4 linked regions of the Stegostoma tigrinum genome follow. The protein of the gene in region 2 purifies or fractionates together with the protein of the main gene of each other region. This does not show direct contact. Links are inferred from orthologs where the notes say so. Each region holds a gene or a part of one and is shown on either strand. Other genes may lie near its edges.

Region 1 (7,712 bases), on a different chromosome or scaffold from region 2:
GAGAGAGGGGGAAGCGGACCGAAGATGGAGAGAAAAGAGGATAGGTGGAGAGAGTATAGGTGGGGAGGTAGGGAGGGGATAGGTCAGTCCAGGGAAGACAGACAGACAGACAGGTCAAGGAGGTGGGATGAGGTTAGTAGGTAGGAAATGGAGGTGCGGCTTGGGGTGGGAGGAAGAGATGGGCGAGAGGAAGAACAGGTTAGGGAGGCAGAGACAGGCTGGGCTGGTTTTGGGACGCTCTGGGGGGAGGGAAGAGCTGGGCTGGTTGTGTGGTGCAGTGGGGGGAGGGGACGAACTGGGCTGGTTTTGGGATGCGGTGGGGGAAGGGGAGATTTTGAAGCTGAAGTCCACATTGATACCATTGGGCTGCAGGGTTCCCAAGCGGAATATGAGTTGCTGTTCCTGCAACCTTCGGGTGGCATCATTGCGGCACTGCAGGAGGCCCATGATGGACATGTCGTTTGAAGAATGGGGGGGGGGGGGGGGGGGGGGGAGTTGAAATGGTTCGCAACTGGGAGGTGCAGTTGTTTTTTGCGAACCGAGCAGAGGTGTTCTGCAAAGCAGTCCCCAAGCCTCTGCTTGGTTTGCAATAAATAAGCGGAGGCTTGGGGACCGCTTTGCAGAACACCTCTGCTCGGTTCGCAATAAACAACTGCACCTCCCAGTCGCGAACCATTTCCACTCCCCCTCCCATTCTTCAAACGACATGTCCATCATGGGCCTCCTGCAGTGCCGCAATGATGCCACCCGAAGGTTGAAGGAACAGCAACTCATATTCCGCTTGGGAACCCTGCAGCCCAATGGAATCAATGTGGACTTCACCAGCTTCAAAATCTCCCCTTCCCCCACCGCATCCCAAAACCAGCCCAGTTCGTCCCCTCCCCCCACTGCACCACACAACCAGCCCAGCTCTTCCCCTCCCCCCAGAGCATCCGAAAACCAGCCCAGCCTGTCTCTGCCTCCCGAACCTGTTCTTCCTCTCACCCATCCCTTCCTCCCACTCCAAGCCGCACCTCCATTTCCTACCTACTAACCTCATCCCACCTCCTTGGCCTGTCCGTCTTCCCTGGACTGACCTATCCCCTCCCTACCTCCCCACCTATACCCTCCTCTCCATCTTCGGTCCGCATCCCCCTCTCTCCCTATTTATTCCAGAACCCTCACCCCATCCCCTCTCTGATGAAGGGTCTAGGCCCGAAACGTCAGCTTTTGTGCTCCTGAGATGCTGCTTGGCCTGCTGTGTTCATTCAGCTTCACACTTTATTATCTTGGATTCTCCAGCATCTGCAGTTCCCATTATCACTGATACTTCTTTTTGCCTATAACAATTGAGGGCCAACATGATTATAGATTTTAAATTGTTTCCAAGGCAAAAAAAGCTATAAATGTTCACAAACCAAATGCGATTAAAGACAACCAATTGTGCTAATTCAACTCAAATGCATAAAATTATTATTCAGCAATGTTATCAGTACTGAGCGTTTAAACTAAAATATTATAGCTTATGAAGCATTATTGCTAGTTCTTGTGATGTGTGCCACTCATTTTGCTCAAATTATTTGTAACTGATTAGATGGGAAGTGAAAAAACTGCAATTAAGAACAGGGCACAATTACATCCATGTATTTATGGTTAGCTTTTCTGGTGAAATGGAGGGGGAGCTCCTGTCACAGTAGCAACCCTTATCATAACTCCAAGTTTCATGGGATCCTTTTTGTAATATAAATATTTTAGCCGTACTTTCTACTAAGTGTTATAATTTAACAAGAACTATGCTGGCAATAGTCAAGTGTTTCCCAACTAAATAAAATTAAGATGTATATTGCAGTACACATCAAGTAAAGTTTAATAGTTCTGAGGAAGGGTCTCCAGACTGAAAACGTTAACGCGGTCTTCACAGATGCTGCGAGACTTGCTGAGCTTTTCCAGCAACTTCTGTTTTTGTAAGTAAAATTTAATTTTGGCTTTAGCATGTTCTCAGTTCAAAAGATTCACCTATTCGTGCATTACTTCTGAAACGCACAGGCTAGATGCAACTTTCACAATTCCCTGTAATCATTCTTCAGTATCATTACCCTTGAAATTTAGAAAAAAAAAATTCCCTAGAAGTAACATTTCTGGAACTGTATGTAAAGCATTGATATATTTGGGAGATTCAAAAATGATTTCAATACAGCAGGCACTACAATTCTGGCTTATTGGGAATGTATTCCTTTAGAATGACTGCTTCACTATTTGCTTTCTAACTATACATAAAACAATTTAACAAACCACTATATACCAAAACAGCACCTGTAGAAACGACCTATAGGAGAATTTGATCCATTGTATTTATTAACCGTTGAAATTGTGTTGTTCGAGTAAAAATAACTTCAAGTATATCCTACTGTGTGATTTGGAACAGGCAGTTTGTTTTCAAATGACGAACTTCCAGAATATTTAAATAAGAGCAAGACGCACATTTTTTCAGAAATCGTTCATTTTCAAATCGCATGAAAATGCCAAGTGTTGTTGCTTGTGAACGAGTCATTAGTCAACAGGGAAATCCCGAACCCTGCTGAAGAACGAAGTTATTTGAAAGCCTCTTTATTGACGTTATCCTTTTAACTTCCAACGTCTCCGCCTGGTTGCCTTGCTCACGCCTGGAAGCTCGGTTCAGGCCTCAAGACAGGCCCTGCCTCGGGTGCCTCACAAATTACTAAAGACGTCACTGCGGCGGCGGCACCGCCACAAACACTAAAAGGAACAATAAAAAAAATCAAATTCACCTCCAGATCCCGCCCTTTGTTCTTGAAATTCTTCAGCCGCTGTTTGTCGTTGTCCGCCATTGCCGTGTGCCTCTCGAGAAGTAAACTTGCCCTTGGTTACTGAATTCCTAATGGTGAAAACGAAACAATAAGCAGCCGTCCCTCCACCTGCCTTTCAGCTCACTTGACTTCACCAGAATCAGGCAAAATGCCGGTAAAACGCTCAGCCTCACTTTCGCCGCAATGGGCAACTCACAGTAAGAGCGACGTTGATTGGCTCGCCCCTGCCGGTGATGCGGAGCGGATGGTCGCGACGCCAGGGCGGTCCTCCCGACTCCAGGGGGGCGCTGCCTTCCGTCAGTCCTGCGCGCCTCATGCTTGTCGCCTAGCCGCGCCAGTTCGACTGAGTTGTGGCCTCTCCCAAGCTCCCGCTCGCTGGTTCAGGCCAGCCCCGGCCCGGCCGGCCCTTAGCAACCGTGCCTGCTGTTGCTATATTGGAGCGAGTGCGAGTTTCGCGCTGCGCACTTAGAGCCCGGGGTAAGGGGAAGAATTTGCAGACATTCAATTGGAGTTAGGTTTGAGCGCGCCATGCTTCTGTGGGCTTCGGGCGATTTGTAGCTATGGATTAATCTGAATAAGGTCCTCCCTTTAGTTTTGAGAAATATAGGAGTTCAGAAGATACCAGGTAGTTGTCAGTTCTGTGGACAGTTTTTTTTAAATGTGTAAAACGCCTGGCGCCTTCACTGCCTTATAATAATTTGACCTGCACATTTTTTTGTAAATGATTTTAACTCTGAAGTGCTGCGATAATAAGGTGTTAAGTGTAAAATGGAAACTTAATAGTGAACCCATTTAAAGACTAAAGTTAATGTACCGAGTTGGGCTTTCTTCCTGAGAAAGGATATTGACCAGGAGAGGATTGTGTCAGTGCACTCGAATATGGCATACACTTGTGGGGAAAATGAAAGAAAAGCTGAAGTTAATAGTTATTGATGAATAAACTTTATGGCCTTGAAAATACTGTAACGAGTCTGGAAGACCTGTAACTCCAAAGAAACTTCATATTGGAGATTTTTCTCCCTTAATATTAACCACATTCCCCACACTTTTGTTGTTTTATATTATGTAAATTGTTTCCCTTTTTATAGTTCTTGGTTTGCATTCAACTTCTCAGTAAAGATTCTTCAGTCAGATTGGCTGAAGAACCTTGTTTTTTGTCCTGTTGTCAGAGACCATGTCCTGTAGCCAGAGGCTGGAAAAGAAGCTGGATCGGAGGGAACCTGTTGTGAGAACCCTCAAAAGCTCCGTAGGCAAGTGAGCATTGCTTCCCTGCCATTGATTGCAAAATCCTATATCTTCCAAATGACAGTCTTTTGAGCTCAGTCTTCCTGGGCCAGTTCTAAATCTGAGAGAGTACATGTTGCTTTTAAAAACACCAATTTCTTTCAAATGTTTTGTTAAAGCAGTGTCTTTATAGCAAAGATCCAGTCTGGCAGCATGATCTCGTGGTGACTGGTTTACATTTTTGAGCTGAAATCTATATGACACAACGATCCTATGATATGGGTAAAGCTGACTCGGAAATCATTCTGTTAAGAGCTGTCCTATAAACCAGTATAAACAAGGGCTTTTAGTTTTCTATAGATTTCCAGATTTCTCATTCATTAAGTTTCATATGCATTATTAAACTGAGGCCTGTTGACTCCTCGGTTGCATCTCAAGGATTCCACAGCACTAGTTCAAAGGCACATAGTGGTGTTCTGACGATTGGACTGTCCAATATTTTTATCTGTAAAGTATTGATATATGCAAATTGGTTGCTGCATTTTCTGCGTTATTGTAGTTGACAATAACTTATTGACTATAAATCATTTTGGGACATCCTAAGATCTGGACAGGTGCCCTCTTTTGATATTACTCTGATATATGATTTTTTTAAAAGGCCAGTGAATGCAGCTGAAATATGCCATTCTAAAATGATAATTTAACAGAGCATTGCGTTTTTATTCAAATTTGTATGGTGGCCACATGTGTTGTAATTGCCACCACCACCTGATAGAAAGAATGTGTACATACATTGTTATGAACTGACATCACTGCATGACAGAACAAAGTAGTGCTGCACAAGTGTCTAATGTGATGAACCCAATGAGAGTAAATAAAAAGGTTCACAAGAGGATTTGGGATGGTGAGCAGGTGCAGCAGTAGCCCTGTCCCTGGGCACAACCTCCTGGCTCCAATTTTTCTTCCTTTCCAAGTGGGGTTTCAGTCTCTGACTCACCTCCCCTACTCCTCATCTGTGGTGCATGCGATGATGATGACATCACCGCACATGCATATATGCTTCCTGCGGATTGACATTTTACAGACAGGTGACATCACTGGTGCATCTGTGACAAGTATAGTGACCATTTTGCATTATGTATGATCACTTTGCTGTGTGGCACTTCATTAGAAAACTCGAATCAGCATTCTGTGTTTTGTTGGTACTGTGTAACAAAATGGTTGCCATGTAACATGCCAACAGTCACTAGAAAAATTGTAAAGTTTTCTACTTGTTATAAGGTCGTGCTTGCTGTGCAGGTAACAGCAACTGTTTAAAGTGCTGTTGTAATGGGGAAGAGTTTTGATGCAATCTGGTCATATAATGTATTGATTTCTTTAATCACCATTACCCAAAATCATTCAGAAGATATTTTAAGTGAGACAAGCTTTTTAAATCTGTGAGAATTTGATTTTAACATTTCGGAAACCTTATTTATTCTGAGATAAAAATACAACATCTAACCAATATCAACATGGTAGTAAGACTGTCACTTTAAATTGTCCTATCTTCAATAACTGAATAAAATCTTGGTTTGTTAACTCAAGGGTTTAAACAAAAACAAATTGAACAATTTCACATTCCACAGAGGACATCCTAACAAGAATGTTGGTTCTCAGCATTTGTGAAAAAGAGCAATACCCCTTTTAAATCTTGTATCCTTAATGAAAAATAATACTTTATTAAATTCATTCTCAAGACATGGGCGCTGTGGCATGGCTGATATTTTATTGTTCGTCATCCAAAGATCATCAATTAAAAGAGTTTAAACATCCTGGGTGTTTCTTACATAGGTTTGCTTATGAGAATTTCTATAGGATCCTAATATGTATCATCTGTTATATGTCCAGTCTGTAATGATCTGGAGGCCAGTGTATCCAATAGATAGTACAGATCACAACTCTCTCTCTAAAAGATTGGATGTTTACGTTATTGGATGGGTGAAAATCAAGTGGAATGCATTGTTCAAGGTAAAGTAATGCAGCACCTATCCAGGGAAATTTATCTTGGTGTTTGTAAACTCCCTAGGCTTTGAGGAGTGAGGAGGTAAGCTACTTGCAGCAGAATATTTAGCCTCTGATTTGCTAGAGTAGCAGCATTATTTACATGACAAGTCAAGATTAGTTTCTAATCAGCAACGACCCCAAGAGGGCTATTGTAAGGGATGCAGTAATGATACTGCCACTGAAAATGGAAGGAAACTGGTCATGCCTTTCAAGAGATAGTTATTGTCTGACATTTGTGTTCTGTGAATGTTACCTCCTGGCTTGTTATTCGGTCTGAAATATATACATCCCTAACAAAGCTTGGATTTATTGTCCCATGCCTAGTTGCCTGTGGACATGTAGCATTAGCAGTCCAGACTTGGAGCCAACTAATGTCAGTGTAGGCATCAGTTGTACAATTAGATCTAGAACATTGCCCTGAGACACTCCACCAGCAATTCGCTAAGACGTAGATGATCCCATCCAGTGATCATAGAGAGTAGCAAGGGTATGGAATACTTTGCCTGCAATGATAGTAGATTCGCCAACTTTAAGTACATTTAAGTCATCATTGGACAAGCATATGGACGTACATGGAATAGTGTAGGTTAGATGGGCTTCAGATTGGTATGACAGGTCGGCATGACATCGAGGGCTGAAGGGCCTGTACTGTGCTGTAATGTTCTATGTTCTATATATCTGCGTCAGTTTTACTCCAGCCATTAGAGAATTTCCACCCCAAACATCATTGTCTTCATTGTAACAAAGCTTGTAGAACTGCACTTCGTCGAATGTTACCTTTATGTTAGGTGTAGTTATTTTCATCACACATCTGGAATTCAGCTTTTGTGCCTGTGCTTGGTCTAAGTGGACTTGAGCCAAATAATTCCAGTGAATTCTAAACTGAATACCAGTGATCAATTAACTGATAGTATGCCAGGCTTGGAAAGAGCATTGATGACTTCTTCCATCATTCTACTGATGGTCGGAAGTGGTTCAGTGGACAGCAATAGGCACAATTTAGGTGCAATTTCAGCAGAACACATCTGGGCAGTTTTGCAACAGACTAAATTCCAATACTACAATTATATTTGACAGTTTGGCTAAGACTGAGACTGTTCCTGGCTTGGGATCTTCAGAACCATCATCTGGAATTTCACAGGCCTGTAATCTTTCCTGTGTCTAGTGGACTCAACTGTTTATTCACATCACACAAATAATGAAATTGGTTGAAGTTAAGTATTTGTGATGATGTGGATCATAGGAGAAGGCCTAGAAAGATCATGCAGTGATTACCTTTGGATGATTATAGAAATGCTTCAAACTTGACAGTTGAGCTCCAGCATCTTTGAAGATTGGGATGTTCATGGAGCTTTCTTCCATTAGTTGTTTATTTGTTCCCCATCATTCATGATTGAATGTGCCAGGATTACAGATCTGATGGCTGTAGTGTCATTTAGCTTTATGTCTCATATGCTTCCCCTTTTCACAATGCAACAACTTATTTTCAGTTTCACTGGGTTGGTGCCTTATTTTCAGGTTTTTATTTTCATTGCTACTTTTTACATCCTATTCAACTGTAGTTGAACTGGAGTTCCTTGGGAATGCAGGATTTGAATATGGCTGAAAAACTCTTGTTATCAAAGCTTTTAATCT
Region 2 (7,502 bases):
AGGGGGACAAAAGACGGGGAAGGGAGGGAGGGGGACAAAAGACGGGGAAGGGAGGGAGGGGGACAAAAGACGGGGAAGGGAGGGAGGGGGACAAAAGACGGGGAAGGGAGGGAGGGGGACAAAAGACGGGGAAGGGAGGGAGGGGGACAAAAGACGGGGAAGGGAGGGAGGGGGACAAAAGACGGGGAAGGGAGGGAGGGGGACAAAAGACGGGGAAGGGAGGGAGGGGGACAAAAGACGGGGAAGGGAGGGAGGGGGACAAAAGACGGGGAAGGGAGGGAGGGGGACAAAAGACGGGGAAGGGAGGGAGGGGGACAAAAGACGGGGAAGGGAGGGAGGGGGACAAAAGACGGGGAAGGGAGGGAGGGGGACAAAAGACGGGGAAGGGAGGGAGGGGGACAAAAGACGGGGAAGGGAGGGAGGGGGACAAAAGACGGGGAAGGGAGGGAGGGGGACAAAAGACGGGGAAGGGAGGGAGGGGGACAAAAGACGGGGAAGGGAGGGAGGGGGACAAAAGACGGGGAAGGGAGGGAGGGGGACAAAAGACGGGGAAGGGAGGGAGGGGGACAAAAGACGGGGAAGGGAGGGAGGGGGACAAAAGACGGGGAAGGGAGGGAGGGGGACAAAAGACGGGGAAGGGAGGGAGGGGGACAAAAGACGGGGAAGGGAGGGAGGGGGACAAAAGACGGGGAAGGGAGGGAGGGGGACAAAAGACGGGGAAGGGAGGGAGGGGGACAAAAGACGGGGAAGGGAGGGAGGGGGACAAAAGACGGGGAAGGGAGGGAGGGGGACAAAAGACGGGGAAGGGAGGGAGGGGGACAAAAGACGGGGAAGGGAGGGAGGGGGACAAAAGACGGGGAAGGGAGGGAGGGGGACAAAAGACGGGGAAGGGAGGGAGGGGGACAAAAGACGGGGAAGGGAGGGAGGGGGACAAAAGACGGGGAAGGGAGGGAGGGGGACAAAAGACGGGGAAGGGAGGGAGGGGGACAAAAGACGGGGAAGGGAGGGAGGGGGACAAAAGACGGGGAAGGGAGGGAGGGGGACAAAAGACGGGGAAGGGAGGGAGGGGGACAAAAGACGGGGAAGGGAGGGAGGGGGACAAAAGACGGGGAAGGGAGGGAGGGGGACAAAAGACGGGGAAGGGAGGGAGGGGGACAAAAGACGGGGAAGGGAGGGAGGGGGACAAAAGACGGGGAAGGGAGGGAGGGGGACAAAAGACGGGGAAGGGAGGGAGGGGGACAAAAGACGGGGAAGGGAGGGAGGGGGACAAAAGACGGGGAAGGGAGGGAGGGGGACAAAAGACGGGGAAGGGAGGGAGGGGGACAAAAGACGGGGAAGGGAGGGAGGGGGACAAAAGACGGGGAAGGGAGGGAGGGGGACAAAAGACGGGGAAGGGAGGGAGGGGGACAAAAGACGGGGAAGGGAGGGAGGGGGACAAAAGACGGGGAAGGGAGGGAGGGGGACAAAAGACGGGGAAGGGAGGGAGGGGGACAAAAGACGGGGAAGGGAGGGAGGGGGACAAAAGACGGGGAAGGGAGGGAGGGGGACAAAAGACGGGGAAGGGAGGGAGGGGGACAAAAGACGGGGAAGGGAGGGAGGGGGACAAAAGACGGGGAAGGGAGGGAGGGGGACAAAAGACGGGGAAGGGAGGGAGGGGGACAAAAGACGGGGAAGGGAGGGAGGGGGACAAAAGACGGGGAAGGGAGGGAGGGGGACAAAAGACGGGGAAGGGAGGGAGGGGGACAAAAGACGGGGAAGGGAGGGAGGGAGGGAGGGGGACAAAAGACGGGGAAGGGAGGGAGGGAGGGAGGGGGACAAAAGACGGGGAAGGGAGGGAGGGAGGGAGGGAGGGAGGGAGGGAGGGAGGGGGACAAAAGACGGGGAAGGGAGGGAGGGAGGGAGGGAGGGGGACAAAAGACGGGGAAGGGAGGGAGGGAGGGAGGGAGGGGGACAAAAGACGGGGAAGGGAGGGAGGGAGGGAGGGGGACAAAAGACGGGGAAGGGAGGATGTTAGTGTTGGGAATTTGGCAAATTCAGGGTGAGTTGAGAACGAGGGAGAAAATGGCAAGACATGGTTGACAGAGAGTGGGCAAGAAGTGGTGGAAATAAGGTGACTATGCCATAAAATGATTAGCACATCAGATTCCAACACAAACACACACAAACTCCAACATCCCACCACCCATTCGATCACCCTGCTCTGTGAAATCAGGGCGATTTGTTATGTGTTAGGGAGCAAAGAGAGACACGCTGGTGTTGACTTGGAGACAGAGAGGCTAAGAGTGTGAGGGGGTGACGGGAGATGGAGGGAAGGGGGTTGCCCCCGGGTACCCCGCTTGCGCGCCTGGTTGCCATGGCGTCGCCCCGGTGATGATTGTCGGGGGGAGGGGGTAGAACAGGAGGTTGCCATGACTCCGCGCTCGCGCGGGCCCGACCGTTAGCCCGCTCGCGCCGTCTCCAACGGCTGCGGGCCCTGAGCGCCCAGGAGCCGAGCGTCGACCTCCGACCGACCGTCCACCCCACCCTTTGGAGGTAGGCCTCGCTCGCCACCGGTTCCATCCTCTCCCTCTTTATTTTTTAACTTTTTCAAAAAAAATACCATTTATTATCACTAGACCGGGCAAGTTTTGTGTGTGTGAAACAATCCGCTTATTATCGGGACCGCCACCGCGCGAGAAAGAGGCCGGGCCTACCTCCGCCCTCTCTCTCAACTTCTCACCCCCCCCCCCTTCGCCGTTCATTCGCCGGCATATGTTCACCTCCCCCCCTCCCGTCCCGAAGCACGGAAGGGGGATTGACCGATCTCTGGTTTTCTCTCTCGGACCAGGGCCGGAGCTGCTTCTCCAATCCCGCTTCGCCCCCCTCCCCCGACCACTGCACTCTTCCTCCTCCTCCTCTCCCAGTACTCACAGCCTCTCTCCTCCGCTCGGCGCGGCGGCCATTTTCAAATTATTTCCAGCGCGTCACACCGGCAGGGCGGGCGGCCCGACCGGCCGAGATCTCGCGAGCGTTCGGAGTTTCGGGTAGGGAGGGTTCCGGGTGAAGGTGGGGGGAATGAGAAGTGGGTGGAGGCGGGGAAGGAGGGGGCGGGGTGCTTGGTGGAGTTGGGCGGGAAGGGTGGGTGGGGCGGAGTCCAAAGCGACAGAGGGCGTCGAACGTGCGTGAGGGGGCGTGGTCTGAGTGAATGGGGTGTGTCCCAAAGTGAGGGGGTGGGTCCAGGGTGGAGCCTTTATGTACCAAAGTGAGGACAGCGTGGTCCCTTGGTGAGGGATACGGACCCAAAATGAGGGGACAGGTTCCAAAATGGGAGCGTCCACTCTGTGGGATGACAGGTTCAAGTGCTAAGTGGGGTGGTCCCTGTTTGAGGTGATGCCCCCATGTCAGGGTACCTGAGTGAGTGGCAGTGACCAATGGTGAGGGGATGGGGTCCTTTAGGGACAGCTGGACCCTCAGTGAGAGGGCATGATCCTTTATGTGAAGGAACATTGGTCCCTGTGTGAGAGGACGGGGTTCCAGACGAGGGGGCATAGTCCCATTGTGAGGGGGGCATGTCCCAAAGTAAGTGTCCAGGCTTGAGTGTATGGCTATAAGGGTGAGGGGGTGGGGTTTATGTATGAGCCGGTGTGGTTCAATCATGAAGGGCCATGTTCACAGAGGGAGGAGGTGGAGTCCCTGGTCAGGGGGCTGGGTCTTTGGGGAGAGGGGCATGGTCTCAAGTTGTGAAATCACCTGATGAAGGGGCTAATCTGCCAAAGCTTGTGTTTTCAAATAGACCTGTTGGATTATAACTTGGTGTCATGCAATTTCCGACCTTGTCCAGCCCAATCCAACAGAGGCATCTCCACGTCTTGGGAGAGGGAGGGCCTCTGGCTGAGGTGGGGCTTTTGGTTGGGAATGGTGTCTTGGTGTAGCAGAATGGTGTAGTGGTGGGACAGCAGGGGACAGGTCTTGGTGGGTGGGCATAGTACTGCGCAAGAGGGCATAATCTTGGAGGAGCAGGGATGCCTGTCAAAATCTTGATAGAGCAAAAGATGCAGAGTCTTGGGAGAACAGAGGAGGCAGGATCTTGGGAGGGGGTGGTATTGGGAGGGGAGGAAGGGTGGTATTGGGGACTGGTCTTTGGAGAAAAAGTTTGTGGTCTTAGAAGAGGAATAGAGGTGATTTTGGGAGGGGGTTTGATCTATGGAGAGGATGGCAGTAAATCTTGGGGAGTAGTGGTTGGTCAGGGGAGAGCAGGGGGTTCATGTAAGTGTTGTCGGAACTGTGTGAGATGGAACATGGTCTTGGGGAAGCAAAGGAGTAAGGTCATTGAGCAGAAGGTGTGTCTTTGGACAAGTTATAGGAAGTGGAATGCAAGGAGCCCATTGTGACATTTGAAAGTAAGGATCAGAATTTAAAAAGGAGGGTGTAGTTGGACCAGGAACATGTGTTGCTCAGCAAGCATAAGACGTGATTATAATATTCCTTTCAAACTGAGGGTGAGCCTTGCCATGTAATAGCCTATAAGATACTATGGAACCAGGTTTAAAAAAAAAAGCAAAGAGGTTACTTTAGTAATTGTAAAAAGGGCCAGGTGAATCCGTAATTGGGGATGTTAACCTGGGCTAATCAAGGAATCCCACATTCAGTTACCCTTGACAATGCCAGTCCTTTCATGGTCTCAACGTTCTTGGTTACTCTGGATGTCCATTCAAAGTGTATGAACACACACAGAGTTTATTCGGCAAACTCAGAAATGACAATTGTAAAGCTGCAAACAATTTTCACAATACAGAAACTACTGGTAACGGACAATGGGATGTTACTTACCAACAGGGATTTCAAGTATTCCCTAAAGTTGAATGGGATTTAACATGTTTGGACAACTCCATACCATCCATCATTCAATGGCTGAGCAGAAAGAGCAGCACAAACTTTAAAGAAACAGCCTACAGCCTCACTTGATACCAAACTGTCCCACTTCCTGTTCGATTATAGGACCACCCCTTACGAAAATACAGGGAGAGCTCCAGCAAAGTTGTTGATGGGTGAAGACTCCTATCAGGTTATATCTAATATTCCCATTTAAGGGTGCAGGGGGGAGCGGGGAGCATGAAATGGCAGCAGCAACACCAATGCCAGGCACATGCCTCCTCTAAACAAGGAAGACAGTTTACTTAAGGTGACAAAGTTTGGCATTGAACAGCCCTGTGTGGTTATGAGTCAAGGTCAACACACAGTTAGATCCCATGATATACAAAGTTCAGGTAAGGTGAGGTGGTCCTAAATAAACATGTGGTTTATGAAAGCTGCTACCTTGCAAACAGGGCAGGAGCAAAACATACCTGGGCACCTCAGAACAGCCATAACGGCTGTCAGAAACCATGGGTCCTCCTCCATCATCTAACATCGAAGAAACCTCAGAGTTCATGATGGATGTAGCCTCAATACCATTAATGCCTGAAGAAAAGAAGGAATCTCTCCTGAGACACTCCAGGTGCAAGAGACGGCATACATGATACACACCTCCAGTGTCCTATCAGAGTCAGAAGAACCCCATTCACAAGCGTACAGACAAAGAAAAATGCAAGGAAAGAAAAGGCAGTTCAATAGTCCCTGTCCACGGCCTGTGCTGAGATGCCCTTTTGGCTTTCTTCAGGAAGCTAAGGAAATTGGGCATGCCCACAAGGACTCTTACCAATTTTTATAGATACACCAGAGGAAACATCCTATCTGGACGTATCACAGTATCGTATGGCTACTGCTCTTCCCAATTCTGCAAGAAACCACAGATAGTTATGAACACAGCCCAATCTATTGCACAAACCAGCCTTCCATTCACTGACTCCATCAATATTTCTTGCTGCCTCAGGAAAACAACCGACGTAATTAAAGACCCCTCCCACCATAGTTATACTGTCTTCCACCCTCTTCCATCAGGCAGAAGATATAAAAGTTTGAATACAAGCACAAGTAGATTCAAGCACAGCTTTTTCCCTGCTGTGGTCAGAGTTTTGAATGTATCTCAAGTATTAATTTTCTCTCTCCATACCTTCTTGGCAACCATAACACTATATTCTGCACTCAGTTCTGCTACCTTGATGCACTTTCTATGGTACAATCTGCCCACGTAGCACACAAATCCACACTTTTCCAGTGTATCCTGGTATGCATGATAACAATAAATCAAACTCAAACTTCTCCAGGTACTTTCACTTGCTTGCAGGTGGGACAGGGTGGCTGTTCACGCTCATAAAGTGTCTGATCTATAGATTAAGAGCCACAATTTACAGAACTGATGGGAAGAGATAGACTGGCTTTTTTCAGGCTCCAATGCAAACAAAAGAACAGCTCTTTCCTTTTCTGAAGAAGGGTCGCAATCCGAAACGTAAACCTTTCCTGCTCCTCTGATGCTGCTTGGCCTGCTGTGTTCATCCAGCTTCATACCGTATTAGCTCTTTCCTTTTCAATGGTCTGATGACTTCTAACCAAATATTCACACCCATAAGCTATCCAGTAACCAGGGCACTAACCGCGTAGTTGGTAGCGGGCAAGAGGCCATGTCATCAACCAATGATCACTAATCCACAGAGAAATCATCTTCTTGTTGCCAGGGGAATTTCCCTTCGTACACACCCCAGGATCAGCATGTCTGTAGTAACCTCACCCTCTGCTTGAACAAGCAGCTGTGCAAACAGCACATACAATGAGTATTGAGTAATCTACTGTTAAAAAGTACAGCAATTCTTTGCACGGTCCCTGGTGTTTAAGACAGTCCTTTTTCCCATTTCAGTTCATAATCAAAAATAAAGTAAAATTAAAAATATACTTTCTTTAAAATAGTGAACTCATTAAATAATTGTGTAAATATCTTTGTTACATTTACCACTCTCCCATCTGCTCCCAGATCTCTACCTTCGGGTGTTCTAGATTTTTCACTCTTTTCTCAGAACATACTCTCTCAGATATAAAAGGATGGTAGATCTCTTGCTTGATTGATGATTGTTGACTTTGGTTCTGACTTGTGACCATTTCTCTGCTAGAGGACTTTTTATCTTTCAGGTCTCCTTCACATAGATGAATATTTGGATAGAAATAGTGTGCAAGTGTACAATAAATGACAGGAGATTGACATTAGGTTTTGAACAAAGAAAAAGAAAAGAAAATTACAGCACAGGAACAGGCCCTTCGGCCCTCCAAGCCTGCTGTTTTCATGCTCTTTTAAAGAGCCACGGAGGTACGATGGACCAAATAGTCTCCTTCTGTGCTCTAACAATTCTGTGATTTAAAGAACATTGTTCTTTGTAGATGCTCTTGTTGGCCATTCTTATCTAGAGCATCTGTAATCCCCTGAATGTTCTTCCTTGTATTATTCTAGATTTCTGGATCATGCAATCATTTTCTAATGGAAGGAGCAGTTTTTTTTGCAGTGATTTGCTCTGACTCCCATGAAATTAGATGCAGCTCAGTTGACTTGCGTTGTTCAGGTTGGACGTCTTCACTTGCCTCTTTTTTTATTTCAT
Region 3 (7,576 bases), on a different chromosome or scaffold from region 2:
TAATTTCTCTCCACAGTTGGTGCCAGACCTGCTGAGTTTTCCCAGCAATTTCTGTTCTTGTTTCTGATTTACAGCATCCAGAGTTCTGAGTTAACAAGATGTGGAGAAGGATGAACACAGCAGGCCAAGCAGCATCAGAGGAGCAGAAAAGCTGACATTTCGGGTCTAAATTCTTCTTCAGAATCTGCAAGAATTAGTAATGCTTTACCACATTTGTGGGTTTTCATGACTCGCAAAGACTGCTCCAACCTTAACGTTCCCCAACCCCGCACGGCCCATTTCCATCTCCTTTCCAAAATCCACAAACCTGCCTGCCCTGGTCAACCTATTGTCTCAGCCTGTTCCTGCCCCACCGAACTCATCTCCACCTGTCTGGATAATGAAATGTGAGGCTGGATGAACACAGCAGGCCCAGCAGCATCTCAGGAGCACAAAAGCTGACGTTTCGGGCCTAGACCCTTCCCATTATCACTCCACCTGTCTGGACTCCATTTTCTCCCCTTTGGTCCAGGAACTCCCGACCTACGTCTGTGACACAACCCACACCCTCCACCTCCTCCAAAACTTCCAATTCCCTGGCCCCCAACACCTCATTTTCACCATGGACGTCCAGTCCCTATACACATGTATCCCTCATGCAGATGGCCTCAAGGCCCTCCACTTCTTCCTGTCCCGCGGGCACGACCAGTCTCCCTCCACCAACACCCTCATCCGCCTGGCCGAACACGTCCTCACATTCAACAACTTCTCTTTCGATTCCTCCCACTTCCTACAGACCAAGAGGGTGGCCATGGGTACCCGCATGAGCCCAAGCTATGCCTGCCTCTTTGTAGGTCACGTGGAACAGTCCCTCTTCCGCACCTACACAAGCCCCAAACCCCACCTCTTCCTCCGTTACATTGATGACTGTATCGGTGCCACCTCTTGCTCCCCAGAGGAGCTCGAACAGTTCATCCACTTCACCAACACCTTCCACCCCAACCTCAAGTTCACCTGGGCCATCTCCAACACATCCCTCACCTTCCTGGACCTCTCAGTCTCCATCTCAGGTAACCAGGTAGAAACTGATGACCATTTCAAGCCCAACAACTCCCACAGCTACCTAGAATATACCTCCTCCCACCCACCCTCCTGCAAAAATTCCATCCCCTATTCCCAATTCCTCCGCCTCCGCCCCCAGGATGAGGCATTCCACTCCCGCACATCCCAGATGTCCACGTCCATCAAGGACCGCACCTTTCCCCCAACTGTGGTCGAGAACACCCTTGACCGCGTCTCCCGCAACACATGCCTCACACCCCGCCCCTGCCACAACCGCCCCAAGAGGATCCCCCTCGTTCTCACATACCACCCCACCAACCTCCGGATACAACGCATCATCCTCCCACACTTCCGCCATCTACAATCTGACCCCACCACCCCAGACATTTTTCCATCCCCACCCTTGTCTGCCTTCCGAAGGGACCACTCTCTCCATGACTCCCTTGTCCGCTCCACACTGCCCTCCAACCCCACCGCACCTGGCACCTTCCCCTGCAACCGCAGGAAGTGCTACACTTGCCCCCACACCTCCTCCCTCACCCACATCCCAGGCCCTAAGATGACTTTCCATATTAAGCAGATGTTCACCTGCACATCTGCCAATGTGGTATACTGAATCCACCGTACCCGGTGTGGCTTCCTCTACATTGGGGAAACCAAACAGAGGCTTGGGAACCACTTTGCAGAACACCTCTGCTCAGTTCGCAATAAACAACTGCACCTGCCAGTCACGAACCATTTCCACTCCCCCTCCCATTCTTTAGATGACATGTCCCTCATGGGCCTCCTGCAGTGCCACAATGATGCCACCCGAAGGTTGCAGGAACAGCAACTCATATTCCGCTTGGGAACCCTGCAGCCCAATGGTATCAATGCGGACTTCACAAGCTTCAAAATCTCCCCTTCCCCCACCACATCCCAAAACCAGCCTAGCTTGACCCCGCCTCCCTAACATGTTATTCCTCTCACCTATCCCTTCTCCCACCTCAAGCTGCACTGCCATTTCCTACCTCCTAACCTCATCCCACCTCCTTGACCTGTCCATCTTCCTGGACTGACCTATCCCCTCCCTACCTCCCCACCTATACTCTCCTCTCCATCTTCGGTCCACCTCCTCCTCTCTCCCTATTTATTCCAGAACCCTCTCCGATGAAGGGTCTAGGCCCGAAATGTCAGCTTTTGTGCTCCTGAGATGCTGCTTGGCCTGCTGTGTTCATTCAGCTTCACGCTTGGTTAGCTTGGATTCTCCAGCATCTGCAGTTCCTATCATCTCTGCTCTCTTGAACTGTTCAGCTCCAACCACACCTGTGCCCCCACGTTCACCATTCTAGGCATTTAGGTTCATTGCTGTTTGTCCAAGCTGCCTATCCCCACCCTCTTCCCCCATGCTTCCCACCCCAACCTCCCCTCTTCCCCTACCATCCCCTCATCCTCACTCCCCTCCTCATATCCCACACCGTCCACCACCCCAATCGCCCATACCCTACTCACCACTTCCCCATAATCTTCCCCTCAACCCATACCCATATCCTATTCCACCACCACCCTCCAGCCCCTATTCCTCCCCCATACTCTACCCACGCCATTGGCCCCAGGTTCACTATTCCAGTCATTTAGGTTCACTGCTGTTTGTCCAAACCCCCGATCCCCACCCTCTTCCCCTCGGCTTGTGAAGAAGGGTCTACACCCGAAACGTCAGCCTTTCTGCTCCCCGGCCTGCTGTGTTCATCCAGCTCTCCACCGTGTTATCTCAGATTCTCCAGCATCGGCAGTTCCCACTATCTCAGAGTTCTATTGGTTGTATTTGGTAATCTCCTCTCTATCCTGTCACACTCGCATTCCCCCATATCCATCCAGCTCTCTGTCAAACCTGTAAGACTCTCTCATCCAGTCCCATCTCGTGGAACCTCAACTTCTCCGCCGCCATCTTGCGCCTCGGGATGTCACGTGACTCCACGCGGCGCTCGCTGCTGCCGTCCGTGGTGGCGCCGCGTAACTGCAGTTCAATCCGCGTAGTTGGTGCAGAGGAGCTTGGTTCGCAGCCTGTGCGGGTTTGCCCTCCCGTTAAAACCATCGGTCTCAAAGAATTGCTCAAAATAGCATGTCCAAATCCGAAAACAAGAGGCAACTCTGTCTTCCAGTTAAACAGCCCTGGTCAGAACTGTGATAAAAACAGAAATTTCTGGAGAAACTCAGTCGCTTTGACATCGTCTGAGAAGAGAAGCATTTCGCTGGATTGGAAATATTAACTCGGCTTTCTCTCCAAAGATGTTGCCAGAACTCTTGCAATTTCTGTTTTTGATTCTGACGTTCAACATCCGTCGTACTTCGCTTCATTTGGGTCAGAATCGTCAGGTTTTGTCACCGTGTTGCTTGCTGACTTGATTGCCAAGTCCGCAAAGCGATTTCCACGTTCGACCCAGATGGAAAAGTGAAATCCAAATTCCCTTCTGCACAGCATTTTCATTTCAGGGAAAAAATTACATTTTCTGAGAATACGAAACAATCCCAGCAGGGACTGACAAATTCCAGAGCATGCTGAATAGTACGTGCAGAGCACACAGGTCAAATACTGCATGTAAAATGAATGAATTTTGAATGAGTTTGGACAAGCATATGGACGTACATGGAATAGTGTAGGTTAGATGGGCTTCAGATCAGTATGACAGGTCGGCACAACATCGAGGGCCGAAGGGCCTGTACTGTGCTGAAATGTTCTATGTTCTATGACTTACTGTCACGTGTATTTTACAGTGAGAACAGGAAACAAAAGTGAGAAGTTTTTTTCCATGGTCGCCACAATTCAGCACCGTTTTGAATAATTTTAAAAATAAAGAAAAAGCTTAAAGACAGTCCATCCGTCCTGAGACAGCTTCCCATCAACAATGCCTGTGCTGCCATCCCTCCTCTACTGTCCCACAGCCATCTACACGAGACCCAAACAATATCGCCATTCTTCAGAGATAACAAAGTGTGGAGCTGGATGAACACAGCAGGCCAAGCTGCATCTCAGGACCACAAAAGCTGACGTTTCGGGCCTAGACCCTTCATCAGAGAGGGGGATGAAGGGTCTAGGCCCGAAACGTCAGCTTTTGTGCTCCTGAGATGCTGCTTGGCCTGCTGTGTTCATCCAGCTCCACACTTTGTTATCTCGGATTCTCCAGCATCTGCAGTTCCCATTGTCACTCACCATTCTTCAGGCATCATGTGCTGTCGCTGGGCCAATTCTCCTGCACCACACCCTTGCTTCCACCTGCAACAGACCCACCAACATCAGAGTCTCACCTCCCCCCACTGGGACCACACAATGTCACCATGACACCCATCTGCCACTGCTTCACCGGATAAAATTGGCAATCCCCATTTTTTGCTGCAAAGTCAACCTCACTGACATCACCTCTGCTTAAGTAGTTGCCAAATGCAATGCCAGACCCTGCATTTACCTGGAAAAGTAGGTGCTCACTCGCAGCTGCCAGAGTGTCCGCGCTGGGCTCAGGCAAATTGCCACGAGTTCCTTGGCACCGCCAAAGCCATCCGAGCTTAGGACAAGAGGTAAATAAAAAGTGGACAAAAGGAAAGGTCAGAGTGGATGAGCATCAGCTCAGGAGCCATCTTGTTGACATCTTGAAACAGCAGGACAAAACAAGTGACCTACATCCTAAACATAGCCGACGATTAAGTGGAAAGAGTTTTGGGAGCTGAAGTAGACATGGCATTCAATGGGTGACCACTCCAAAGTAGTAACACATGCAATGGTTTCACCAGTCACATAGACAGATGATGAGCGATCAGTACACGGATCTGGTCTCAGATTACGGGTTGAATATTGTGAGCAACTCTGGTCAGTGAGACACAAGAGAGTCGGTCTAGTAAATAAAATGTAACAGAGAAGGAACACAAGTCTGATCTCAGATGCTTCGTCCAAGGCACCTTCCAATCTCTGACCTCCACACACAAGAATAAAATGGCAGAAGACACACGGGAGCACCACCACCTGCAAGCTCCCTTCCAAGCCACTCACTACATTGAACTGGAAATTTGTGGCAGGTTCAAGCCCTGTCACTGGGTCCTGGAACTTCTGTGCTGAAATGCCCACAGTGTCAAGCAATGTGCAGCCTTGGTGGATTAGCCATGGGAAATGCAGGTTTACAGGGATAGGGTAGGAGGGTGGGTCCGGGAGGGATGTCCTTTCGAGGGTTGTGATAGAATCAATGTGTCAAATAGTCTGGTTCCACACTGTAGGGATTCAATGATCCTATATAGCTGAGCCGCAGTGGTTACTGAAGGCAGCTCACAATTGCCTTCTCAAGGGCAATTCAGGATGAGCAATAAATATGAGCCCAGTCTGACACATATCATTAATGAGATTTGGCAGAAACTTGACACCTGCAGCTGGCACGATGAATAGGCTGGTAATCATTAGAAAACCTTCAGAGTGGAATGAAACCATTCAGCCTATCGAATCTGCACCAATTTGTCAAAGAGCATCTCACCCAGACCCAGTTTCCCATCCTATCCTGTAAACCCTTATTCACAATGCTAACCCATCTTAACTGCATATCCCTGGACACTATTGGACAATTTAGCATGGCCAATCAAACTAACCTGAATATCTTTGGATTGTGGGAGGAAAACAAAGCATCCAGAGGAAATCCGTGCAGACCTGGGAGAATGTGCAAACTCTACACAGTCAGTCACCCAAGGCTGGAAACAAACCTGGGTCCCTGGCGCTGTAAGCATGTGCTGCTAACAACTGAGTCAGCAGGGCGCCAATGTGATTTAGAGATGGTAGCTGAGACTGAAAACGTACATCAGAAATATTACATCATCTTAAATTCTGGGCGTCGATCAAAAGAACAGTCCAAAACTCGGAAAACACTGCTTTTTCAGCTGGATCTCATGGCTCCCAAGAACATAAAATTGTCAGACACTTGAAGGAATTTGGGCAGAAATGAGAAGGTGAAGAACTTGGAATCCTTCAACAACTGCATGTGATTAACAACATGTTTCTGAATGTGGGCAAACCAGTGTGGGACCAGGAACAAGTTCAGACTGAAAAAGCAGTAAAAGAACAAAGAACAAGCACAGCACCTTTGGCCCTCCGAGCCTGTGCCAACACATTTTGCCCTTCCATATTAAAACTGTCTTCACTTCGAGAATCTGTATCCTTCTGTTCCCTTCCTATTTACGGATTTGTCCAATTGGCTCGTGAATGCTGTTGTTATGCCTGCTTCCACCATCTCTGCTGGCAGCACATTCCAGGCACTCACCACGCTTTGTGTGAAAAGCATGCCTCGCTCATCTCTTTGAAACATTCCCCACCTCACATGTTGAACCTGTGTCCCCTAGTAATTGACCCCTCTGCCCTGGGAAAAAGCCTCATTCTTTCCACTCTATGTATGCCATTCACAATCTTATAAATTTCGATCAGGTCGACCCTTCAACCTCCTGCATTTCAGTGAAAGCAAACCCAGTCTATCTGACCTTTCTTCTTAGCTAAGATCCCCCATACCAAGCAACATCCTGGTGAACCTTTTCTGTACCCTGTCCAAAACATACATATCTTCTGGTACTTTGGTGACCAGAACTGTACACAATATTCCAAATGTGGTCCAACTAAAGGTCTATATATCTGCAGCATAACGTGTCTATCCTCATACACAATGCACCTTCCAGTGAAGGCAAGCATGATATAGGCCCATTTTACTACCCTATCTACCTTTAAAAGCTACTGACCCTGAATTCCACAATTTGCAACAACTTGTATTCTCATGGTACATTTCAGGTCATAAAACACTGAAAGTCACTTTACAGAAATGCTGTTAAACAAAATGTAACACTGAGCTGCGTGAGAGGTTATGAGAACATACCACCCTCCGTGGTCAAAGAAATGTGCTCATTCAAAGAAAAATGATTCTCAGCAGTTTAAAGCAGACACAATGGTGGATTAAATTCAGCAATGTTCAAAAAGGCAGAAAAGGAACAATGCAGATTGTAAGGGAAAGGGACATTTGAGATAGGGAAAGGCCACATTTCTCCAGATTCTGAACTCAGCTACAGTCTTGGACTCAATTTTATTTCAGTCCAATGCAAAACTTTCCACCCCATGGAAATCCTTGCAGGAAAAATGCTCGACTGAATTGCTTCTTAAACATTTGTCCAAGATCTGCAGGTGGAATACACCTGTGAACGACTTAGCAGTCCTGCCCTTTCTCCTTTCACTTGTCAACAGTACAAAAACACGAAAACTGAAAGAATGCACTGCTTTCAACAAAGCACCAATCGATATTATCTGCTGCTATGCTTGAGAGGCTGATTCTCAGATCAAACAACAGGTTCAGCTACTTCCTGTCCTTTGATTTCAGCCCCAAAAGTGTTCCAGATCCAATCTCACGGTTCTATGCTTATGTAGTGACATGAATTTGCTAAGAAAATTACATGATTTATGTCATGTATGCTGAAGCCATAGTGTGTGTGGTGCCTATGAGTGATCAGAATGCGGGCTCTGAGATAACAAAGTGTGGAGCTGGATGAA
Region 4 (7,702 bases), on a different chromosome or scaffold from region 2:
AAATGTCAAATTGTTAATTTTGGCAGAAAGGAAAGGAAATATGCTTATTATTTAAATGTTGATAGGCTGCAAAGCTCGGATGCAGAAATATCTGGATGTCTTTCTGAACAAACTATCTACTTTTTCAACTGCAAAAACCTGACAGTTAAAATGAACGCTCTCTGGTTAAATGGAAGAGGTATTATTACCCATCTGTAAAGTTCAGTGACAGTAAGCAGAACTGTCTTTAAAAACATCTCACTTTAAAAGATGCTGAATTTACACATATACATTCAGTACTCCCTCTAATGTTGTGACAGAAATTAAATAGTCCTTTGTGAGATTGATAACTAAAGATGAGAATTTTTAAAATTGAAGGTACAATGACACAGCCTCCACACAGATCAGCTAAAAGTACGATGATGAGTGAGAAAGCCTTGCTGCTGTCCAATACCTGGTTATTGGAACCTTGAAGGAGATGAAGTTTACGGGGCGTATTTTCAAAGTTTTTTCTGCATGATCTTTTCGATCTCAGCCTGTTCCTCAGACCTCGACCTCCTGTTCCTTAACCCAGCCCCACTAAACTATACAACCTTCCTTCACCTGTTGCCAAAATTCCACGTGTGAAACTCTTTACTCAGGCTTTCTTTACTGAATCAATCCTAACTGGAGTTAGGAACTATATTCTGTGCCTGTGACAATGAAAGTTGCCACAAATTTACAATTCATCAATGTTTTGGCACCCTAGATGTAACCAAGATATCCATTACCTAAGCATATTGATTGTCCAAATTTGTCAGGCACACAAAATCTGTGTTTGAAATAATTTTCTTTGTCTTATAATTATTGGATTTAGGACTCAGGATTTTTTTGGGTTAACAACATCGCACAAATGAACTGTGGAGGTGTGTAATGCTGAGTAAGAAATTTCATGGAGCCTTCTCATCTTGCACTCATCCAGTCAATTCTTTCCCACTACTTCCCCTATTGACATCTGTGGATTGTCCCGATGAGTACAAGATAAAATACTTCGACAAAATGCATGTTTTAGCAAACTCAAACTGAGAAATGTATTGAAATGACTTTGACATCACTTAAGGGAAATGCACGGCATAAAGTTCTCAAGATAGCAAATCACTAACAAGCCCAAGCACACAATTTTTTTTCCTCCTTACTTGAATAATGAAGACACAAGATCATTAAAAAAAACTGAAGCAGATCATAAGGACTTTGAACTTCCTCCTGCACTGAATTCACTCATAGCTAACCTTCGGCTTCAACTCCACTTTTCTATCTGTCTCTCATATTCCATGATTCTCCAAGACTGCAAAATTCTATCTATTCCACACATACACTCAAGTGCACTCAATTATGCAACATATTCTAGACTCGAAGAATCCAATGATTCACAACAAAAGATTACCCTCATCTCAGTCCTAAATTATTGCCCTCTGCCAGAGGACAAGGTCAGAAATCACACGACACCAGGTTATAGTCCAACAGGTGTATTTGAAAACACAAGCTTTTGGAGCTTCAGTCCTTCTTCAGGTGTTAGTGAGAGGGCAGTATCAGACACAGGATTTATAAGTAAAAGACCAAAGGTTCACACCATTGATGAGGATGTACAAAATAAACCTAAGATGCTGTTAAATCTTTAATCAGCTGGAAGGTTTTAATTGATCAATACGTACACAGAAATCAGCAAATTCCTTTCAAGTGGCAGCCCCAAGAGAATGAAGGCTTTTGTCAGTGTAAAGAAGTGGTGACATCTTAGGTCAGACAATATACGTTAGATGTGAGACCTTGTTTAGAATCTGCAAGTGCCTTAGACTGGAGTCAGGCTGGCTCTTCTGAAAAAACCTTTATTTCTCTCAGGACTGTGACTCGAAAGGAATGCAAAGATTTACATATACATATTATTCAATTAAACCTTCCACTGATTAAAGATTTAACATCATCTTAGGTTTGTTTAGTACATCCTCATCAATGGTGCAAACGTTTGATCTTTTACTTATAAATTCTGTGTCTGACACTACCTCTCTCACTAACAGCTGAAGAAGGGCTGAGGCTTGGAAAGTTTGCGTTTCAAATAAACCTGTTGGACTATAACCTGGCGCCGTGTGATTTCTGACCTTGTCCAACCCAGTCTGACACCGGCAGCTCCACATCATCACTCTGCTAGAGGAAACAATCCAAAAGTGTCAAGTTCCAAACTTCGGTTTTGAAAAAGAGTGAAACCAAATTAAAATCCCGCAAACCAATAGCTGGCGAAAGAAATTTCATTCGGGCTGCGCAGTGAAAACCTGCGCATCAAACTGGAGATGATCCATTGATGCGGGGGCAGGAAGAAGGTGCATGGGCGGAGGAGAAGGAAGAGCCTTCGACAACCATCAACGCCTTCCGGTGACTGGGGCGTCCCTTTAACCAGCCGATGAAATTGAAGGGGAATTGACAGCCACTTTTTTTTGGGACGGGTAGGGGTTGGTGATGGAGGGAGTTACTCCCAAGTCCTGGAAAGATTCTACACTCCCTTCAAGTCTGTAATCAGTAAAACGATGATATTTTAAATCATTGTCCCAACCTGGCCAGTGCAGAGTGACCAATCGGTTCGTGTGTGTGGAACATAAAAAGCCGGCTGGGGAGAGGGTTCAAACCTATGAACACGTTAAGAATTGCCGGAACCTGATAAATACACCTTTACACCCCATCCCCATCCGCTGCGGGCCGAGACGTTACACTCAGCCCTGAGCAAGCGGAGGAAATATAGGATTGACGGGGAACACGTGTCCGGGAGCTCTCGGCCCAGTTACTCGCCACTCTGACCCAACCCAGCCTTTCAATATGTACAACGTCTGATAGGCCAGTCGCTCGCAGCCTCCAAACGGCCACCACCTACCTTAGCGGACGGCACTACCGTGATCTTCTTGAAGTTGTAAAGCGCCATCACGACCCACCACTCCGCAACCGGAGAGAAGAGGAAACCACGAGCAATCTTAACAAGATGGTCCAGCTTGTTCAGTCCTCCCTGTCTGGAAGGTGAAACAGCGCCACACCGCTCCTCCCAGTCTGGGAGGTGAAACGACGCCACACCGCTCCACCCAGACTGAGAGATGCCAAACGTGTCACTACGCTCCTCTCAGTCTGCGAGGCGAAACAGCGCCACCGCGCTCCTCCCAGTCTGGGAGGTGAAACAGCGCCTTTCTGTACCGACACCTGCAGGTGGGGTTAGAGAATTGGCGCCTTGGTGAATACGAGCAATAGTTTATTTTCGTGAAGAGTGTGAAAGATGCTTAATTTAGAACAAACACAGCGCATTGGAGAAACCCATGAGGTCTGGCAGTGTTTGTGGAGCGATAAACAGAGTTGACAACTTCGACTCCAGCATGGCTCTTCGGAACTGAAAAATGTCAATTTATTTTTAATATGTACTTTTGACCGAGGAGGAGGCAAAGCGTTGTTAGTGGTGGAGAAAGAGAGAAAATAAAGTAAAATAGTTGTAAATTAAGGTGTCGAACGAGGGGAATGGGTCCTCTGTACTAAGAGCAAAGTGAACAAGATAAAGGATACGTTTAGATCTTTATTTTACCATGGCTGTCGCGGTCTGCCGTTTGTAAATATTGGCCGTTTTAGCTTTAGGTGGTGTAAAATGGTGTGTGGCGAGCATGAGTTGGCACTAAGTTAGCATGGGACTGTGAGGGACCATGGACTGCACGAGTCAGTACATTTGTAGGGCATTGACGTGGAGAATTGTGGGCTGAACGAACTACAGTAAAATGGGGCATCATGAGTGTGATGGGGAAGTAACAGAATGTAAAAGGAACAAAACAATTGGAGCAGACCATCCTGCAACTTTTGTGGCCAATTCCATAGCATCACAGAAAAGTTATGGCACAGAAAGAGGCAATTCAATCCTGCGATCTGCACCGAGGGCTGCAGCCTCCCATCCCAGTCCAAAATCAAAGGGCACTTTTTCTCAAGGCAATGAGCCAAATCTAGAAATTTCCTGACTTATAAAAGTCATACAGCACAAAAATAGACCCTTTGGTTGAACTTGTCAATGTTGAACAGGTTTCCCAAACTAAACTAATCTCATTTGTCTGATTTGTCTCATGTCCCTCTAAGCCTTTCCTATTCATGTACCTGACCAAATGTCTTTTAAATGTTTGAAGTGTATGTGCATCTCCCAATTTCTCTCGCAATTCATTCCACATACTCTGTCAAAAAGTTGCCCATCAGGTCCCTTTTATATCTTTTCCCTCTCACCGTGAAACCATGCCTCCAGTTTTGAATTCCCCTTCCCTAGGGAAAAGATCTTCGCTATTTACCATATCTATGCCTCTTATGATTGTAAAAATCTTTATAAGGCCACTTCTCAGCCTCCTACGCTCCAGGGAAAAGAGTCCCAGCCTATCCAGCCTCTCCTTATAACTCAAACAGTCCAATCTTGGTAACATCCTTGTAAAGAGAAGACAAGGTGTAGAGCTGAATGAACACAGCAGGCCAAGCACCATCAGAGGAGCAGGAAGGCTGATGTTTCAGGCCGAGATTCTTCTTCAGAAAAATGAAGAAGGGTCTAGGTCCGAAACGTCAGCCTTCCTGCTCCTCAAATGCTGCTTGGCCTGCTGTGTTCATTCAGCTCTACAACTTGTTATCTCAGCTTCTCCCAACATCTGCAGTTCCTACTATATCTGAAACATTCTTGTAAATCTTTTTTGCAGCATTTCCAGTTTAATAACATCCTCCCTTTTGCAGAGCAACCAGAATTGTCTGCAGTACTCCAAACGTGGTCCTATCAATGTCTTGTATAACCTTAACATGACATCCCAACTCCTGCACTCAGTCCTCTGACCAATGAGGGCAAATGTGCCAAATGCCTTCTTCACCACAGTATCTACCCTTGATACTACTTTCAAGGAACTATTTACCTGAACTCCGTGGGCTCTCTGTTCGACAACACTACCCAGGACCATACCATTAATAGTTTAATCCTGTCCTGATTTGTCTTACCGAAATACAGTACCTCACATTTACTGAAACTAAACTCCATCTGCCACTCATTGGCCCAACTGACCAAGATCCCATTGTATTCTGAGATAATTTTTTTCGCTGTCCACTCCCTCACCAGTTTTGGTGTCATCCACAAACTTACTAAACATGCTTCCTATATTTTCCATTTCATGCAAAAATCCAGCCAAATGTAAGGAATAAACATGACACTCTTTGTTGATCTGGAATGTGCTGTCCTCCAAAAGTTAGCTTTCAAAAGGAAACTGCATAAATAGTTAAAGTGGAAAAATACAGAGATGGTGAAAGAGCAAGAGATTAGACTAATGGGTTGCAATTTCAAGCCAACACAAACAATACGGCAAATCAATTCCTTCTGTATAGTGTCAATCTGTGATTTTAAAATTATTTATGTCAGAACCACTGTTGCAAAGATAGCAGCAGAACATCTATGTCATTAAAATTTGGCATAAAATTAACAAGTTGTAAAGCTCATATGTAGGAGGTATTGTTTGGGTGATTCTTCATCAAGCAAATCCTAAAATACAGAAGAGCAGTGGAACCTCCCCTTCAAATTTATATCAATAGGAGGCATATTTTCTTGGTAAGTACATCTTGTTAGATTCATGAAACTACTGAATGTTTGATAAGCAATTTCATTTCTTATCCTTGAAAAAAGATTTGAAGATATTCAAGTTTACTTTCCCCCATTAAATTTCCTATGGCTGCACAAGTTGGATCAAGGTTCCCTGGAAAATTTTGAATGTTGCAAATGATTTTGCCTGAGACAAAAATTGTAAACATTCATGTTCTGTTCTGAGTTTAAAAATCCAAATACAGTTTTTATTTTCCCTTTCCTAAATAGACATATGCACCCCTTATCTTCCAAGTCATTCCTTATCCTTATAACCCAAACCCTTGGATCCTCACACGTAGTTACTATGAATTTCAAATGGGTGGCGTGTTTCAGGCTATTACTGACTCCAACAAGGATTGGTTATTTGTGGTTCACTAGGAATGCACTTGTTTCAAAGTCAGATCCCACATCAGCTATAAAGCTAAACTGGCACCTTACTGCAGTACCGAGAGAGTACCTCACTGCTGGAGGTTTTGACTTTGGGTGAAATGTTGAATCAAGTCTCAGATTGCCCCCTCAACTAAATATGAAAAATCTGATGGCACAACTTCATTAATGAAAAGAGGAGCTCTTCCCAGTCCTGGCCAATATTTCTACAATTTGCCATATAAAACAATGTTTTTCCCAATGTTACTTATAGTTTGCATGTTATAGTAAAATCCTAAAACTTAAACTGTTGTGACGTGATTCTGTCAACCGTTACTTCGATGTTCACATTTTTTATAAAAGTTACTGGTTTATATAGGGATCACAGCACTGAGAAAGGGCAGTGAGATAGAATTAGAGTGAACAGGTGCAGTGAAGAGCTATTCCAAACACAGATGCAATAGTGTACAGTAACTTATTTGATCTAATGGGGATAGATGACCTTGACTCAACATAATGAACTGCTGTTAACTTTTGTACACAAATATTTTTCTTTATCTACAGGTTGATTAAATTATGCTCACAGTGCTTGAGTCACTTGTTATGCAAGGACAGATGTGCCACTCTTGATCTGTCTCATGGATCATAATTTCTTGACGTTTCACTTTAACCCATGAACATATTTCAAGTGAAGTTTGGAAAAACAGCAAGATCAGTCATCCATGGCAATATAAACTTTTCAATTTATTTGAGAATTGCATAAAAAAGACAATTTGCCATAGTGTGTTGCATTTATTAATACTTCTTGAGCATTGTCCCAAAGTAAAGTGAAAACAACAATTATGCTTTAAGAGAGGAGGATGCTGAAAGTGAACTTCCAAAGTTTGTTTAAATTTTAAACTAGGCATGTTAACTTTGCTTGTTCGACATATTGCTGTGAGAAATAAACCAGAGAATTGCTGCCATCTGCATGTTGGTTGAAAAGGATGCTGTATGTGTACCTCTTCTTCCTATTTGCAAAAAAAGGGCTCCTGTATATTAATATATGTAGTTATGTACACACTAGATATATCTCTCAGTGTGACTGAACAGCTTTTTAGTCTAGGCTATCCTTTAGTATAATGGCTACGTGACCAGATAATTTCTCACTGTTTCATGTGAATTCATAAATAGACCTGAGTTAGTTTAGTCATGAAAGATGCCTATCTCTCTGATGAGCCTGGAAAGGTATGACATCTCAAAAGTTTGAACAACACACTGTTTTGTGCTACTCCTATGGACTGGCAATATGATTTCTGATCACCATGAATAGGATGCTGCCAGTAAGCCCAGAAGATATTCTGCACATCACACAAATAACTAAAGTGATATATGAATTTCACTACCGGCGTGATGCCATGTACATAAGCCATATGTTCTATGGACTAGCAAATCAAATCAAACAGCATATCCCTTTGGCTCTTCACAACAGGCAATCATACTGACTGTGTGCGACAAGCCCACACTTGCAAAACTCACAACAGTGTACAACATGGGTTTGATTCCATGGTTGGACAATATTTGCAAAAGAAACCTGAGTGTGCAAAGAATTACAATTTAGGATTGTCAGTCTGGCTTGCGTTGTGGTGCACTTGAGTGTTCTGGAAGCTACAAAAATAAGTACATAAAGGTGCTGTACCTTGCAGACAGAAATATTTTTAAAAAGTACTTTTTGCA

The links.
Region 1: the proteins of mecp2 (region 2) and kpna4 purify together in Homo sapiens (affinity purification with mass spectrometry; 3 studies listed by BioGRID and IntAct, counting the BioPlex papers as one, with this or other methods). This does not show direct contact. The link is inferred for Stegostoma tigrinum from reciprocal best matches to the Homo sapiens genes MECP2 and KPNA4.
Region 3: the proteins of mecp2 (region 2) and ddx56 purify together in Homo sapiens (affinity purification with mass spectrometry; 3 studies listed by BioGRID and IntAct, with this or other methods). This does not show direct contact. The link is inferred for Stegostoma tigrinum from reciprocal best matches to the Homo sapiens genes MECP2 and DDX56.
Region 4: the proteins of mecp2 (region 2) and gtpbp4 purify together in Homo sapiens (affinity purification with mass spectrometry; 3 studies listed by BioGRID and IntAct, counting the BioPlex papers as one, with this or other methods). This does not show direct contact. The link is inferred for Stegostoma tigrinum from reciprocal best matches to the Homo sapiens genes MECP2 and GTPBP4.

The regions. Positions count from the first base shown.
Region 1 is NC_081367.1:27,530,200-27,537,911, forward strand, and holds the start of kpna4 (importin subunit alpha-3), read right to left. Parts: upstream 3,004-7,712; 5' UTR 2,829-3,003; coding exon 2,769-2,828; intron 1-2,768. UniProt on the Homo sapiens protein: Functions in nuclear protein import as an adapter protein for nuclear receptor KPNB1. Binds specifically and directly to substrates containing either a simple or bipartite NLS motif.
Region 2 is NC_081402.1:3,533,851-3,541,352, forward strand, and holds the start of mecp2 (methyl-CpG-binding protein 2), read right to left. Parts: upstream 3,015-7,502; 5' UTR 2,943-3,014; coding exon 2,911-2,942; intron 2,533-2,910; exon of another isoform or gene 2,416-2,532; intron 1-2,415. UniProt on the Homo sapiens protein: Chromosomal protein that binds to methylated DNA. It can bind specifically to a single methyl-CpG pair. It is not influenced by sequences flanking the methyl-CpGs.
Region 3 is NC_081393.1:10,121,007-10,128,582, forward strand, and holds the start of ddx56 (probable ATP-dependent RNA helicase DDX56), read right to left. Parts: upstream 3,018-7,576; 5' UTR 2,969-3,017; coding exon 2,912-2,968; intron 1-2,911. UniProt on the Homo sapiens protein: Nucleolar RNA helicase that plays a role in various biological processes including innate immunity, ribosome biogenesis or nucleolus organization. Plays an essential role in maintaining nucleolar integrity in planarian stem cells.
Region 4 is NC_081355.1:136,686,892-136,694,593, forward strand, and holds the start of gtpbp4 (nucleolar GTP-binding protein 1), read right to left. Parts: upstream 3,010-7,702; 5' UTR 2,924-3,009; coding exon 2,876-2,923; intron 1-2,875. UniProt on the Homo sapiens protein: Involved in the biogenesis of the 60S ribosomal subunit. Acts as a TP53 repressor, preventing TP53 stabilization and cell cycle arrest.